Sus scrofa: one gene and its partners. The protein of the gene in region 3 interacts with the protein of the main gene of each other region in a pairwise test. Links are inferred from orthologs where the notes say so. Each region holds a gene or a part of one and is shown on either strand. Other genes may lie near its edges.

Evidence for each region.
Region 1: the proteins of DMPK (region 3) and ATXN1 interact in binary tests that used the Homo sapiens proteins (3 or more experiments, as listed by UniProt). The link is inferred for Sus scrofa from reciprocal best matches to the Homo sapiens genes DMPK and ATXN1.
Region 2: the proteins of DMPK (region 3) and HSPB2 interact in a two-hybrid assay, tested with the Homo sapiens proteins (2 studies listed by BioGRID). The link is inferred for Sus scrofa from reciprocal best matches to the Homo sapiens genes DMPK and HSPB2.

Annotation. Positions count from the first base shown.
Region 1 is NC_010449.5:12,727,297-12,732,449, forward strand, and holds the start of ATXN1 (ataxin-1), read right to left. Parts: upstream 3,555-5,153; 5' UTR 1-3,554. UniProt on the Homo sapiens protein: Chromatin-binding factor that repress Notch signaling in the absence of Notch intracellular domain by acting as a CBF1 corepressor. Binds to the HEY promoter and might assist, along with NCOR2, RBPJ-mediated repression. Binds RNA in vitro.
Region 2 is NC_010451.4:39,638,338-39,643,512, forward strand, and holds the start of HSPB2 (heat shock protein beta-2), read left to right. Parts: upstream 1-1,779; 5' UTR 1,780-2,057; coding exon of another isoform or gene 2,058-2,180; 5' UTR 2,181-2,689; coding exon of another isoform or gene 2,690-2,736; 5' UTR 2,737-2,850; exon of another isoform or gene 2,851-3,266; coding exon of another isoform or gene 3,267-3,467; exon of another isoform or gene 3,468-3,665; intron 3,666-4,411; 5' UTR 4,412-4,547; coding exon 4,548-4,641; intron 4,642-4,825; exon of another isoform or gene 4,826-5,102; coding exon 5,103-5,175. Other genes in the region: CRYAB (alpha-crystallin B chain), read right to left, coding at 308-511, 2,058-2,180, 3,267-3,467. UniProt on the Homo sapiens protein: May regulate the kinase DMPK.
Region 3 is NC_010448.4:52,107,534-52,113,003, forward strand, and holds the start of DMPK (myotonin-protein kinase), read right to left. Parts: upstream 3,290-5,470; 5' UTR 2,388-3,289; coding exon 2,228-2,387; intron 119-2,227; coding exon 27-118; intron 1-26. UniProt on the Homo sapiens protein: Non-receptor serine/threonine protein kinase which is necessary for the maintenance of skeletal muscle structure and function.

The DNA of each region.
Region 1 (5,153 bases), on a different chromosome or scaffold from region 3:
AAATCCAAAGATTTGAATTTTTAATGGAAACACTGACAGACCTTTAACCATGGTATTATAAGGAAGATATTATCCCACACATGTCATTTAAAAATCCGAGCAAATGACAGTGTGCTTGCAAAACCAATATACTTTCTTTAGACTGCACTGACAAATAAAGCTAGAGACACCAGAAAAGTAAAATAAACTAAAAACAAAAGTGAAAACCACTCACACAATAGACTCTGAGGTCAGCTCACCACACCCAGACTGAAGTCACTGGCCTCTGTTTGTGGCACAGAGACTCTTAAAGTACATACTTCTGAATCATCTTTCTTGACCCTCCACCAAACTGTAGCAGCATAGGCTTCTGGGTAATGAAAATGACATCACCACTAGTCAAGAGTGAAATTAAAATCATTGTACTTAAACATCTGCCAACAGTTTATGATGTAACAGTACACACAGTAGGGAATTTTAAATAAGATTCTGTCTACAATTAAAACCAAAAACAAGTGCTTTCAGATAGGTCTGCACTGTTCAATATGACTTCAGCCATTGAGATGTGTTATACGTGTAACATACACTTTAAATGTCAGACTTAGAACATACACACAAATGCACAAGTGTACACATATACAGGTATCTCAAGAATTTTCGTATCGATTAAAATGAAAATATTCTGCCTAAGTCAGGTTAAATAAAATATACCGTTAAAGTTAATTTACCAGTTTCTTTTTACTTCCGAGTGTGACTATTATAAAATTTAAAATGACATGTGTCCATTATTTTTCTAATGGACCACTCTGGTATAAATAATGAGGCTGGGGAGGTGCAGGAATTAGTTCTAAGAACTAATTGGAGACCTTAAGATCCTGGCATGACTCTGCAGTAGTGGAGTAGATAACTGGGTTATTTTTTTTTTAACCTTCCTGAGATTTCCCCCTTGCAGTGTATAACATGGACCTTAACCTTTGTTAAAATGATCTCTGAGAGTAAGCTGGTGGTGAAGGAATAATCTCCTGGGTAGATCTGGCATGGGCCCACAAAATAGAAATTTATTAGATTTGTCTGTTAGACTAAAAATTTGTTAGATCTGGTGTGGGTTTTTTTTTGGGGGGGGGAGAAGGGGAGAGAGGATCCCAGACACTGTGCCACCCTGGGAAGCTGATGGAAAGCTATGTATTCTGGAGTTATAGCTGGATTTGCAGCTTGTGGCTGAATGGTTGGGGGTGTTACCTTTTAATGACAGATGGCTTTGGGCATGAATAATGAAAAGTATACAGTTGCTGCTTAACTAGAAAACAAATCAAGGCCACCAAAAGGAAATCTGTCTTTTTTTTTATATATAACACTTTCTCATATACTTAGTCTAATAGGACACGTCAAAAGGAAATGAGATGATTTTTAACCATTATTATTTATTTTTCAAGCAAGACCTAGATAAATTTTCGTCAATGTAACTACAACCAAGACTGAATGTAATGTAATGACCTATGAAATAACAGAATTTATGGTTTTAATCATCTATAGGACATAGCCCTTCTTACAGGAAAAGAAAATGAACAACAGTTTGAGGCTTAGAATGAGTGAGTTGAACTTTGCCTGGTATTGGCTGGGAGCATTTGGAAATCTATTAAAAGCATTTCATTAACATCTTGGCATTTTGTTTCCTCAAAAGAAATACATTTTCCAAATTAAAATCAAAGCCCAAAGCCACCACTGTTTACACTTTAAGATGATGGCAGTTGATGGGTTGTAGGGGTTAAGCTTAGGGTGTCTGCAGACTGAGATCAGGGGCTACAACGGACTGAAAGAAACAAAACAAAACACATCAAACTGTTTGGGAAAGAGGGAAGGTCTTTGTGACTCTAACTACAGGATATTAAAATATCTAGCTGTAAGCTCTGTCGGTTTGTTTTTCTTGAGTCACCCATCAGCTAGGAAAACTGACCCACAGGAGGGTCCGAGTTTAAGACAATTATTTTATGAGGAATTTACCAAGTTTACCCCAAAGAGGAAGAGTTAGAGAAGAGGCACTGGCCAAGTTTGCTTTTGGACACAAAGAGGAAACTGTGTGTCAGGATTTCAGCGGGGGTTGTCAGGCAGTTTGATATTTGCAGAACCCCTGTGGGCCAGGCCTCTCCAAAGTTTAAGGGCTGGAGTCTCCAGGGAGCTCTCAAGCTGACTGGCGATCAGGGCTTGCTTTGTGCCCTGGCACAGGCTGAAACGATGCTCCTGCGGCAGATGCGTTCTGACAGCGCAGAATAATGGCCCTCAGCCTTAAACTGTAAATTACAAACAATCCCTTTTTAAGTACAAAATGAATGCGCAGAATGGAAGACCCTGTCAGCTAGAATGCGGAGTAAATCAAGAAGAAGAAGACAAATTGTTCACTCATACCAGTACAGCCAGATTTTTGTTCTGCTAACCGGACTGTCATGGGAGAGCGTTTCTTCTTTGTCAGATAAAAAGAGAAATTAATGCTCCGTTGTAATTCTAATAAATATGCCAGGCATCTGAAGCATCTCCTCCGAAAGCCAATCAAGAGGCAAGGTGAGGTTTCCCGACCCCTCCCCCCTGCCTCGGGTTTGAAAGTTGTAGCCGAAATACCAATAGTAGGAACACGTGACCCCCGTCACTCCCAGCGCGAGCTTTTTCTGCAGTCAATTTCATAATTACTTCGCTCCGCCTCTCTGCTCAGCACTTCCTTCCCCCTCCCTCTCGTCGCTCCCCCACCCCCAGCAATGAATCACCGTGCATTTAAAGAGCCTTCGATGACCCAGTGTGAACTTTACTGGCATCTTGTACATTCTTATGCCAAAAAAGGGGAGTCTCTCTGTGACAGGAACCTAGCCAGAACCCCGCAGCAGATCTCAGAGGCAGCAAGCTTGGGTGCTTATCTGGGAAGATCGGTGAGGGTTAATTTTCCTAGATCCTGGTGATGATTCAGAATTGCCTATCTCGGTTCACGATCAGGTTTTAAAAACCCAGTTCAGCTCTTTGTGCAGCAAGGAATATATCAGAGAAAAAAATGTTGGCAGATCTCCTTATGCAATCAGGGCAGAGGAATTTATACCACATCAGCCTTTTGATTTCTCCAGCTCTGGCTGAGGGTGGGGTTTCCATATTTGTGCTTTGGCAAATGTGCCCAAGAATGAAGTCTTCCTTAGAGATGCTGCTCTCCTGTCTCTTTAGGTTACTGTGTGCTTCTGTGTGCATTTATTAAAACCAGCAACATGTTTGCCCCTTCCTGTATTTAATCCTGTTTCTGAGTAATACAGATCAAGCAGACGGTCTGCGCCTTGCCTTGAGAGGTTGTTCACCCTATTTCAGGCAGTAAAGGGTGGATCACTGAAGTGACACTGGGCCTTTGGCATATACTTTCTCTCTATCTGGGAAGTCCTCCTTTACATGGCGATTTTATCCTCATCCTCCGAGATCCAGCTCAGGCACCAACCCTTCCGTGGAGTCTTTCCTGATTATCACAAGAATTTGCGGCTCTGCCCAATGTGTGAGTCAGAGAAGTGCTATTTTCTTATTCTTTTTATTTATACAGTATTTTTTTTAACTCTGAGAGGGAAAAAAAAAAAAAATCAAGGCCATAAGCACAGATGGAGAGCGTATCCCAAGTGAAAGCTTCTCTTATCTAATATTTCCTGTTACTCCCAAATCCATTTGACCTCCACTTAGAATTTCACATGTAACTGTTTTCCTTTTATTGCTCCATTTATGTGTTTTCCCCCACAGGTGGGCTCTCAGGGTAAGTTCCTGTTGCCCTCTGTTGTGGGTGGAGTTGTGCTCCCCTGAAAGATATGTTGAAGTCCTTGCACCCTAGGAAAGTGAGTGACTTTATCTGGAATTAAGATGTAATTAGTTAAGATGTCTTACCAGATGAGGGTGGTCCCTAAATCCCACCTGACCGCTATTCTCCTAAGACCGGGGGACACAGGGAAGGGGAAGAAGGCCCTGCGAAGACAGGCCGAGATGGAAGTGATTTAGCCACAAGCCAAGGAAAGCCAAGACTGGCCAGCAATCACCAGGAGCTGGAAGAGGCAAGGAAGAATTCTTCCTTAGCGCTTCAGAGGGAGCAAGGCCCTGCAAGGCCCGATGCCTTGATTTGGGGCCTCTCTCCTCCCAAACTGTAAGAGTACATTTCTCTTGTTTTAAGCCACCCTGTTTGTGGTCACTTGTCATAGCAGCCCCATACACCCTCTTTATTCCATCTGTTGCATTCTTCCTTCTTCTCTTTATTTACATCTAGGGCCTTATCTCTTTCCTCTATGGATACACACAGGTGATCACTTCTGGATGCATATGTGTTTGGTCCTTTACCCATGACAACGGCCATAAACAAAAGTTTCAGTAGAATAGGAAAATTGTCAAGAGAGTTCTAGAACCACTTCCCCATCCTCCCAGAAACACCTGGCTTCTAGCCAGAAGCACAGAGGTTGCTAGAGGCTGGAGAGAAGGCAGTGTCCAGCCCTGGGCCTCAGCTCAGAGGTCTTCCGGAGGCCTTCTCAGCTCCCTCTATTGGTGCCAGGATGCACCAGCAGCTCTGCTCTTCAGAAGTGGCATTTCAGCCTGTGGAGTTGGGGTGGGGGTGAGGAAAAGACTAAAAAAACTAAATGAACTGTTTGGCACAGAGGAGGAAATACAACCCCCGAACTGATGCTTTTTTTAAACTGTGCATTTGAGTCTTACAAAAGTACTTGTGAAAACCTCAGTCTTTCCGAGCCTCATCTTTCAAAGCACAGCCGGGAGCTCATTTGTTTCAAGAGGTTTTCCCCAGCAGGTAGAAGGAAGCCTTACACTCAAGCCCACACTCCCAAGGCAGCTGTTCTCTCCGAGTCACTGTGAGATGTATAATACAGCTCTTGCACACACATCTCAGTAAATGGCAGCTCCATCCTTCCAAATGCTCAGGCCCTAAAGCATCTTGACTCCTCTTTTTCACATCCCCCACCCACATCCACTCTGCCTCCAAAGCCAACTGGCTCTACCTTCCACATGTATCCAGAATTTGACCATTTCTCACTTACTTGGGCTGCTACTCCTGGAAAACTGAACTGCCACCATCCTTCATCAGAACTATTGCACTGGCCTCCTGCATTGTCTCTGCCTCCGGCAGGACCAGCTCACACCATGACTGAGCATCTGCATCAGGTGATGCC
Region 2 (5,175 bases), on a different chromosome or scaffold from region 3:
CAAATCAGTACCCCATGTTATAAATGGAAGACCATAAAGTTTAAGTGACTTGCTGAATTTATACCATCAGTAAGTGTTGGATACAGTTATTCTGACCCTCATATCCCTGGAGCCCCCTAAATCACATGGTGATGATTAATACAGAAGATTCAAACAGAGGACAGTTATCTGTTGCTGAATGATATTTATTAGCTTAATAATTTGGGCCTGCCCTTAGCATTAATAAGCTTCAGCACTAGTCACAAGATTTTCATTCACTGATGAGGAAGGTTTCTTGTTTTAAAAAATGCAGTTAGAGGAAGGGCATCTACTTCTTGGGGGCTGCAGTGACAGCAGGCTTCTCTTCACGGGTGATGGGAATGGTGCGCTCGGGGCCAGAGGCCTGTCTCCTTGGTCCATTCACAGTGAGGACCCCATCAGATGACAGGGATGAAGTAATGGTGAGAGGGTCCACATCAGCTGGGATCCGGTATTTCCTGTGGAACTCCCGGGAGATGAAACCATGTTCATCCTAATGCAAGAGCATAAGGAAAGAGGTAGATAAGAACAGGAAATAGTGTTGCTTGCCTGGAACTCAAGACATCCTGCTTCTCTCTGGGTGTGACCAAATGTGTGGCAACAGGAGAGAAGGCTACATAGCTTTCCTGTTTGGGGCTAGGATGAAATTGCCTAGGTGACCACTCCTACCAGTGGGAGTCTGAAAAGTCTGAACAGCCAGGACTTCCTAGCTCTTCAAGCCCTGAAGTGCAGTTATGGTCAGGGGTATACCTCAAAGGTTTAGATCAATGTTTGCTGGGTTTACAGGATTTAGACTATCATCTGGCTTTGATGATTTGAGTCCCCGGAAGCCCAGCAATTGTCCTCACTCTTCAGGAATGTTCCAGAACGTTCCAGACCAATAGGACTAATAAAAATAATAATGAAAAAACTCCATCTTGGGGAGGCTATGTTAAATGATATAAGCAAAACTGAAAGAGCCTGAGGACCTCAAACTATATTATTTGATGTACGAGTTTCTGAGTTATAACTAATTGGTAAGAAGCAAACTCATTGAAAAACTCTCCCAGAGAGTAATGAGAAACTATTCCAGTCTTTATAATTCTGCTACAGGTTAGTTAACTGTTAATCTAATCCCTGCTGTATCTCAAGCATTTATCCAGACAGGCTCTCAATTAACTGATTTCCACATAGGTCTCATGTATTAGGAGCTGAGTATAGCTCTGAAATCTAGGCAAACCAAGTAGTTCACATTAAGATGAGCTAAAGAGAAATGAATTCCTGAACATCTAAAAGTCCCAAATGCCAGGGCCTTCCAGATGTAAGCAGTTAAGGTAATTATATAAAGCAATCAGATCTCTGACAATCACTATTCCTAAATCAGTGGTCTTTAACCTTGACTGTTGGTATGTTAGAATTCCCTAGGGAGCTTTTAAAATCTGATGCCTGGAAGTTCCCATTGTGGCTCAGCGGTAACCACCCGACTAGTATGCATGAACATGCGATTCTATCCCTGGCCTCACTCAGTGGGTTAAGGATACGGCACTGTGGTGAGCTGTGGTGTAAATCGCAGACATGGCTTGGATCTGGCTTGCTGTGGCTGTGACGTGGGCCAGGGGCTGCAGCTCTAATTCAGCCTTGACCCCTAACCTGGGCACGTCCACATGCTATAGGTGAGGCCCTAAAAAGACCAAAAAAAAAAAAAAAAAATCTGATGCCCGAGTCCATCCCTAAAATGTCTGATGTAACTGACCTGGGATATGCCTGAGGATTGGGATTTTTTTTTTTTTTTTTTTTTTAGTTCCGCTGGTAATTCTAACATGGCCAGGTTGAGAGCCACTGACTTAAATGAGAAGTTAACCTTCCATCTATCCTATCTAAGGCAGTCAAGTCAAAACAAAGATCACTTCTCTAGCCAAAATAACAATAACAACAGATCTATCCCTGTTCTAGACTCTATGGCTTAGGACTGAAATGTTGCCAGCTTCAGAGGCTCATGGCAGCATCTGGTACAATGTACACCTTGGGTGAATGAGCAGAAAAGAAAGCCAGCTACATACCTGGCGCTCTTCATGTTTGCCGTGCACCTCAATCACATCTCCCAACACCTTGACCTTGAGTTCCTCGGGGGAGAAGTGCTTCACATCCAGGTTGACAGAGAATCTGTCCTTCTCCAGACGCATCTAAAAACAGCAAGGTGGGGCAGGGGTAGCAGAAAAAGTGGTAAGAATGGGGATTACACTAATACAGCCTCATCATTCTGCAGACTTGCTTTCTGCTCGGGTAGTTGGTCCTCCCCTTTTAAGCTAAAAATCCTTTTTTGAATAAACATGGTTCTCTGGTTCAGGGGGCACACCACTTGGTCATCAGGCCCAAACTTTATTTACAGGGAAAAAGGCCACTCAGGGGATAAATCGCAAGGATGGGTCTGGGCATGGCTTCTGCTGCTTCTCTGACCCAATGCCTGGCCTTGTCATTTGTCTGTGGTACAAAGGCTGCTTCTTCTTGCTCAGGTCTCTGCCAAGTTTCCCACCCACTCAATCTGGAATGTTCTGCTGGCTCTGATTGTCCTTCCAAAGCCCTTGTCCACTCAGCTCCTGTTTATTTACACTTGAAAAATTTTAAACCAGAGTGTTATCTGTGACAGCTTCTGTCAACCTTATCTGTTCCCCTCATTTTCCCACACTCCTAGGACAAGTTGGGGGGTCAGAAAACTGGACCTATATTCTTTCCTCGTGAGCCTCGGACCCAGGCCAGTGCCCTGTCACAGCCTTGAGAAACCTGGAAAATCACAGAAGAGGGAGTGGAAGACAATAGTGGTTGCTGTCTCCAGCTGCACGCAGCAGGGATGAGGTAGGACTGTCTCCTGGCTCTGAAACTTGAAATGATAGTATTTGTGAGGAGTGTGAGGTGTTAGAAGAGGTGAGCAGGAGTCTGAAGGCAGCCCTTGCACTGTAGATCATTATGAACCAAACTGGAAAGGGACACCCTACTTAGAAGAAGAGGATAGAGAATGACCTTTGTAGCACACGGGGAAAATATAAGAAGTGGAATACACAGGGGCGTCAAATCCAAACAGGTGCCTGCGTGGGGGGGAGGGGAGGAACTAGGAACCCCATCTTTCTCCACTGCAGGACACACAAGTGCCTAAAACCCTTGAGACCCTTAGACACAGCCACATTTAGGCTGGGAGGAAGAGGAAAGTGGATGGGGACGCTTCCAGGAGGCTCCAGAATGCACTCTCCTGTCGGGGCAGAGGGGATACTTACCTCTGAGAGCCCAGTGTCAATCCAGCTGGGTGCCCGCAGGAACGAGGGCGGCCGAAAGTAGAAGGGGCTCAGGGAAGTAGAAGCTGGGAAGAGATCAGACTCCAACAGGTGTTCTCCAAAGAACTGGTCAAAGAGGCGGCTGGGAGAGTGGAAAGGAAAGAAGGGGCGGCGGATCCAGGGGTGGTGGATGGCAATGTCCATGGCGGCTGGGTGGATGTAGAGGGTCAGCTGGCCGGTCAGCTCCTTCAGCTGCAGCTCCAGCCAGCCCCTTATATACGCAGTCTTGTGAAGCTTCTGGAATGGTGATGTCAGGGGTTTTATTATCCCAGCTCACCACCCGTTCATGGAGACTTGTGATCGGGGATTTGGCAGTGTGACACATACCCAGTACTCACTGAGCTAAGAAAAGAGAAATACAGACACGTCTGAGCTGGCCAGTGGCTTGTCCTGGTCTTGTTTCACTAGCTTTCTGTCCACACCCAATGGCACCCTTCCCCCATCCCCTTCCCTGGAGTTGGGACCCAGTCAGGAATCCCAAGCAGGCGGGCAGCGGGCCCCTCCTCCTCTCCAGTCCAGCATGCCAAGGGAATGGGGCCAACAACTATCTTGGGCCTGGGCAGGAACTGGAATCTTCCTAGGCTGGGCCCCAGGGACATTAACTCTTTGTGGGGCCCTGGAGGAGAGCAGTGATCACCAGCATGTCAATGGCAGGTTTCCGTGTGGTGCTCTGGGTTGCCCCCGGTTCAGAGAGGCCCCTGATATGTCAAGACCAAAAGGCCCCTCACCGCACCCCCCAAAGAAAGGGCAGAAAGTTGTTTGCATCTTTCGCTTTACGTGGCTGGCAGAACCTTAAATCCAGGGGAGTTTTATGGAGTAGGGTGCCTGCTGCCTGCAAGTGAGGAGGAGAAGGAGGGTGTGGAAATGTACACCCTTTTTCGCGAGGGTCTCAGCGAGGCCTTTCCCGGACCTCCGCACCAGCCTCCCCTGCCCAGCTCGCTCCGCGGCCAGGACCCCCAGCTGTCCCGGGGGAGGGGGGAGGGAGGGGGCGGGGATGTGACAGCTGAAGAGTGTGCTAGGGAGGGGACGGGGGTCCAGGCGGCGCGGGTCACACAGCCGTCGCGGGCGCTCCTCGCCCCTCCCCCCAGGCTCGGCACTATTTTGGGTGGTGTAGACCCCGCCCCCACTCCGAACGCACCCTGGCCCTACGGCGGCAGCTGGAGGGGTCCCGCTGCGACTGTTGGGGCCGCACCTCGGACCTGAGCCGCCGCCGCATCTGCAGCCATGTCGGGCCGCTCGGTGCCACATGCCCACCCGGCCACCACTGAGTACGAGTTTGCCAACCCGAGCCGCCTGGGTGAGCAGCGCTTCGGGGAAGGTACGGCCCGGACACCACCCCCTTGCCTCCCACCCCCACCTCCTGAAATTCTGGGCTGACCTCCCAAAGATCCTGGCCTCCACCCCACTCCAGGCTTAAGTGAACTCCTGGGGCGAGCCGTCTCCCACCCCAGACCCCCCCACCCCACCCCTTCTAAGCTCGGCTCCCTCCCCTTCCTGCCTACCTTGGTGCGGGCTGTGCCCGCGGTGCTGACACCTGCCGCGTCTGCCTGGGCGTGGGGGCTTCCCCTCCGACCCCCCAGATCGCGTTAGGTTTGCTCCCCGCCCCCATTTCCCTTCTCAGTCCCCTCTGTCCAGTCCCTGTCATCCCTCCCTCCCCTGCTTCTTCCGACTCTCCCCTCCTCGCTCCCCGGGCCTCACCCCCGATCTCCCCAGAGTTCACCTCCTTCCCACCCCTCGTCCCTCATCCCGCCTCTCTCCTTCTCCCCCTCTGCCCCCCAGGCCTCCTGCCAGAAGAGATCCTGACCCCCACCCTCTACCACGGCTACTACGTCCGGCCACGGGCAGCCCAAGC
Region 3 (5,470 bases):
CCACCGAGGGGTGGCTCCAGGCTCACCTCGCTGAACGCCCCGCGTCCGATCACCTTCAGAATCTCGAAGTCATCCCTCTGCAGTCGGGCTTCCTTAAGCCTCGCCGCAATGGGATCCACTGGGGGGGCAGCAGGAGATGAGAACCGAGAATAATAGGGACTGACCCTGGAGGCAGGAGCCAGCCCCACCCTCTGTCCCCAGTCTCCCCTCGCCGCCCCTCCCCTTTGGACTGTATGCCTCCTAAGGTCTCCACATAAACGTTACACGAGGTCTGCGGAACCCAGAACTGCCCGCAAACAGAGAGAGGTGGGATGCCTGGGAACCCCTTTCTGGGGTTCTTGGGGGCGTAGGATGGAAGGGTGAGATAATAAGTCCACCAAAGGGAGGCCCTGAAGGACAGAGAAGAAATGAGGCCTAGTTTCCTGGGTTTCAAGCCCCTACTGCTGGTGACCCGGCCCACCCCCCAGGTCTCTCACTCGGTCTGTCCTGGACTGTGGCCCAGAGCATGCAGTTTAATCCAGCACCTCCAAGCTCAGATGCAGGTGGCTCTTGGGCCACACTTTGGGAAACCCTGAGTGAGACCGGGGCTGGGAGAAGGTATGGGAGTCCCGGCTCCAGGGCTGCAGGAGTGGTCAAGTGTTACCTCCGCGCTTTAGACCGCAGGGGGAGGCTTTCCTATCACCCCTACCTACAGCAGGGGAACCAAAGCCCAGACAGCGAAGTCCTCTGCCAAGGTCCTAGGCTAGCGATGTTACAGAGGGTGGTCTGGGAGGGGGAAGCAGGGTGGAGGCAGGAGATGGGCTGGGGGAGAGGGAGGCCTGGACTCCTGTGGGTGGGAGAAGCAGGGAGCTGCAGAGGAAGGAGGGAGGGAGCAAAGGGTACAAGCAGGGCCGAGGGAAGAGACAGTGGGTTACGGAGAGGGTTGGGGGTTCGAGGAGAGTGGGCCAGCAGGGCGGCAGCAGCCAGGGCCCGGGATGGGGGAGGGAGGAGAGCGCCAAGACATTGAGCCCTTTTAAGGCAGCGGGAACCCAGGCCCCCTCCCCCGCCCAGGCGGCCTGGCAGGGGAGGGGCCGCAGGACGCTGCTCGGGCCACAAAAGGAGTGCTCCTTACAGGAGAGCTAGACTCTAGCCCCCACCTCAGGTCTCGGGTTGTCCTGCCAGTCCAACTCCATCCTCTGCAGAAGGGGGGCTGAGAGAGTTACTAAGGGCTGGGGGTGTGTGGGGAGAAGGTTCTGCCAGAGGCCTAGTAGTCTCGCCCTTGGCCTCCACCTTCCCATCTGCAAAATGGGAAGAGGAAGAGGAGCAGGGCCTTGGGCAGAAAGAGATGGACCCAAGAAAAGAGGGAGCGGGCCAAGGTGGAGAAACGAGACAGGGACACAGTGCCTAAGGACCAAGAGCAAGCCACTGAGGGACAGGCTAGTGGAGGGAGAGAAACCCGGGCGAGCCTGAGTCCTGGCCCAGGAGGGGGTGGGGGGAGACAAGGTAGGAGACTGAGGCTGCAGCAACTTCCCTGTGGACCTATCTCCAGGAGGAGACTTGGCCAGAAGGGACTCTTGGGTGGAGGGGGCAGCATGGAAGCTACAGAGAAGGTGGGCCCACCCACAAGAACCCTAAATTGTTCCTCCTCCAACCAGGGGGTAGAGGAGGTGCTGGGTGGTGCCTGTCTGTAGAGCTGGTTCCCCGCCCCCCACCCCAGGGCCTGCCTGAGTCACCGCACCCTCCCAGGGCCTGGGCACCTGTTGGAACAGCTGGAGAAGCTGGCGCCGAACACCTGCCGGCCGGCCACACCCCTGGCAGCTGCCCCGCGCTGTCCCCTCTGCTTGCCCCTACGCTCAGGGAAACCAGGGTGGAGGGCTATAGAGCCTATTTTGGTGGTGGGGGGGAGTCCTAGGAAACAGGGTTCCCCATCTGTCCCTAGGCCTCGGCTCAAGGAGGGGGTGCTGGGGGACCAGGAGAGACTGTGCCCAGTCCAGCCTACCATGGCTCCCAACTCATGGTTCTGAGTCATGGCTGCCTGCCCTCTGGTGACCCCACTCTGCCCGGCCAGGGTGGCACTGGGGAGAAATGTGCCACCCCAAGACCCAGGCCCAGATGCTGGGCCCCTCAGTGGGAGGCTTTCCCCATGCCCATCCTGCATCCAAAATCAGTCCCTGCACCCAGACCCGCCTTCTCCCTCTGCCCTGCCTCCTGCCCTCAACGTGGGGTTCCCACAAAGGTAAGCACTCACCCCACTGCAAGAAGTCGGCCACATACTTCTCCTGGGCCAGGTCGGAGGCGCCCAACTCCTGGTGGACACCCAGGAGAAGGTCAAGCAGGGGCTCCAGCCCCAGGAAGCCGGGGTCCAGCACCAGCTGCTGAAGCCGCCTCAGCCGCACCTCGGCTGACATGACGGGCAGGCAGCACCATGGCCCCCTCCCCGGGCGGGGGGCTCAAGGTCCTCCTGTCATGGGGCCTGGAAGGCCCCGTCCAGACCCTGGGGCCCTGGCCGCATGTCTGCCTGTCCCTGGCTGTCCCCTGGGCCTCTCTGGCCACTTCTCTCTGCTGGCTGCTAAGGCCTCCTCCCCTTCTCCCCACCCCTTGGTCCAGCCCCCTCTAGCCTCCCAGCCTTAACCCCTCACAAGCCAGGCCCCCCCAACTCCCTCCTTCCAGGCCCCTCGGAATGCTTCAGTGTCAGATGGGGGGGGGGGTTAGAGAATCTCAACCCTCAAACTCCCCTCCGCCAGAAAAGGCGGAGCCCAGTGGAATACCATACAGATGCCAAGGATGAGCCCTCCCATTTCCCAGAGGGGACCAATTGAGGCTCAGAGTGATCTGGTGACACCCCTCCCAAGCTCTGGAGTTGGGAGGGAAGAAAAAGGGTTGAGGCCTGGGGAAGGGAGGCAGGAGGCCAGGGCAGCTTTGCGGGTGACTCAGCCAGGGATTCAGACTTTGGGACGGTTTAAATTTAGCCCTCAGGCCCTCTGCTTTACGCTGACTTTTTTTTGGCAGGAGGTGGGGAAGGGGTGGTGAGAGAATCGGGAAGGGAGGCCCTCAGGAGCCAGGACCAGGGGTGATCAACTGGACAAAGCCTGGGGGAGGCAAAGGAGCCCCCAAAATAGCTCCTTGGACTCTGGCCGCACAGCCACATTCCTGCCCAGGCTAGGATTAGAAACAGAAACATTTCGGGGGGTGGAGGGCGGAGCGGGGAGACACCAGTCCCTGAGGCTCCGGAGAGCCAGCCAGGAGGGATTTTCATTGTCCCTTCCAGAGTGGACAGTTTTCCCGAAGGGAACCATGGTCTCTGGCTGGCCCTGGAGACCTGGGCTTGGCCAAGGCTGGTGCCTGCCGCGCTCACTCTGGGCACCACGGGAGCTGTCTGAAGGACCCTGTCTGGGTAGGCCCCCGTGCTATCTCATTCGCACACTTGGCACCAACTTTTAAAGCTAAGGACGACTTTGAAGGGAGGACGGGGGGCAGGGACGCCTGTCTCTATCCAAAGGGCCTTGTCTGGGGGTGGCCAGGGACAAATGGACCAGCCGAGTGCCTGGTGCGTGTCCCTCCTCTGGCCTTCAGTGTTTCCTGCCATCAAAAGGGGGTGGGGGGAGGAGGGGCCGGGCCTAGGCTCTTCCTCTGGATACAGTGGGTTGATTCTAGAACTGCTGCGAAAGCACACACACACTTCCTCCGCGCCTCTGCAGAAGGGAACAGAGACGCTGTGAAAACAGGGAACTTTAGTATAAATAAGAGGTTCTGGGGGAGGGGGTGCCCCCAAGGGGCTTCCATAATTTAACACTCTTCAAAAGCACAAACAACAGCAGGGGCGGGGACCAGGGGAGGAGTAGGCCACCCCCTGCCCTGCCCACAGACCGAGGGGCACACTGCAGAGCTGGGGCTCTCGTGGATGGGGAGCTTCTCTCCCAGGAGTGACCAGTCACATGCTGGGGACAGGGATGAGGCTAACACTGATGTTTCAGAGGAAGGGGTCATTGTACTTGGCAGTGGGTGGGGACAAGGCTGAGGCCACATGGGTCACTACATTCCCCCCAGTGTCTGGGCCAGGCTGAGGGACCCTTTGCCCCCCATATTTGTGCAGAGTGGGGGACTGGAGCAGTCCATCCGTCATGGTTAGTCTTGTTAACACGTTGATCCATGAGGTCAGCGGGGAGGGTTACAGCTAGGAGGCTGGGGGCGTGGGGTAAGCGCCTCCCCGACATCCACGGCTTCACACCACTGTGCCGCTGGGGGAGTTGCCTGGTTGGGAAGAGATGCCCTGGGGGAGATGAGAGGGGAGACGGGGAGTTAGAGACCACATGGGCCGGGCTCTCGACAGTCCCCAGGGGAGGGAGCTGCCACCCTGGCCTTGCTCTTCAGTCTGCCCTGGAACCCCCCAGACAGAAGCCGCTGCTCTAGGCCTGGGAACTTACATCTCAGTGCCAGCAGGCGGCACTTTTATACAATAATTAAAGCCTTTGGGTGATCCTGAGCAGAGAGGATGGGGGAGAGGGGAGGCAGGGAGGAGAGGGGGGAACGGAGGTCCTTTTCTGACTGGGGGGGGCGCTGAGATTCTGGGGGGGGAGAACTTAGGGACAGTCCTACCTCTACCACTGACTTGCTGGGTGACCTGGGCCAACTTCCTTCCCCTGTCTGGGCCTCCGTCTCCTCGTCTGTGAACTAGGGAGACAGAGGGGTCACTTTCAGGATTTACCACATTCCCCAAATGCCAAAGGCCCTGCCTTGGAGATTGTGCTTTAAGTTCTAGGGATTCAGGAGCCTATAATCCCGAAACTACTCTTCCAGGGAACCAAGGCACAGCCCTCGGATCTGGCATCCTGGGCCCCTGAGCCCAAACCCTGAGGAGATATCTGAGACCACAGTTCCAAAGTCAAAAGGCGTGAGGTCCATACCTTACCTAATGGGACCTTTTTGAACCCCACAGCCACCCCAGAAAATGGGCACATCCGCCCACTACCCATCTTCAAGTTTCCCAAAGAAGTGACAAAGGTCATAAAGAGGTGGCGACGTGCTCAAGGCCACAGAGGGAGCAGAAGTACCAGTCTGGGCCCTGAGGCTGAATTCCACAGCTCATGCCTCCAGCAGTGGACTCGGATCCCAAGAGGCTGAGACTCGGTCTGGAAGCCAGACCCACAGGTGCAATCCTGCCCACAGAGCTTGACCCACAGTATTAAAAAAAAAAAATGTCACCATTCCGCTAAGAGCCAGCCAGGCTGGGCCCACAGGAAGCCCTGCCAGTAGCTGGCCATGGTCTCCACCACTCCCAGGAGTCCCTTACACTGGATCCACTCTCTGCTGACCATGGCTTGCCAAGCATTCTAGAAGGTACTCTGAGACGTCTGGTTCTGGGACACTCAAGTTTCCCTCACCCCACAGGGCTGGAGGCTGCCACGCCAACAGACCCCTCCGCCGGCGCCCGCCTCTGCCTGGGTCCCGGGTCGGCGGGGATGACTCACCGCCTTGCCCGGCCGGGCCCAGG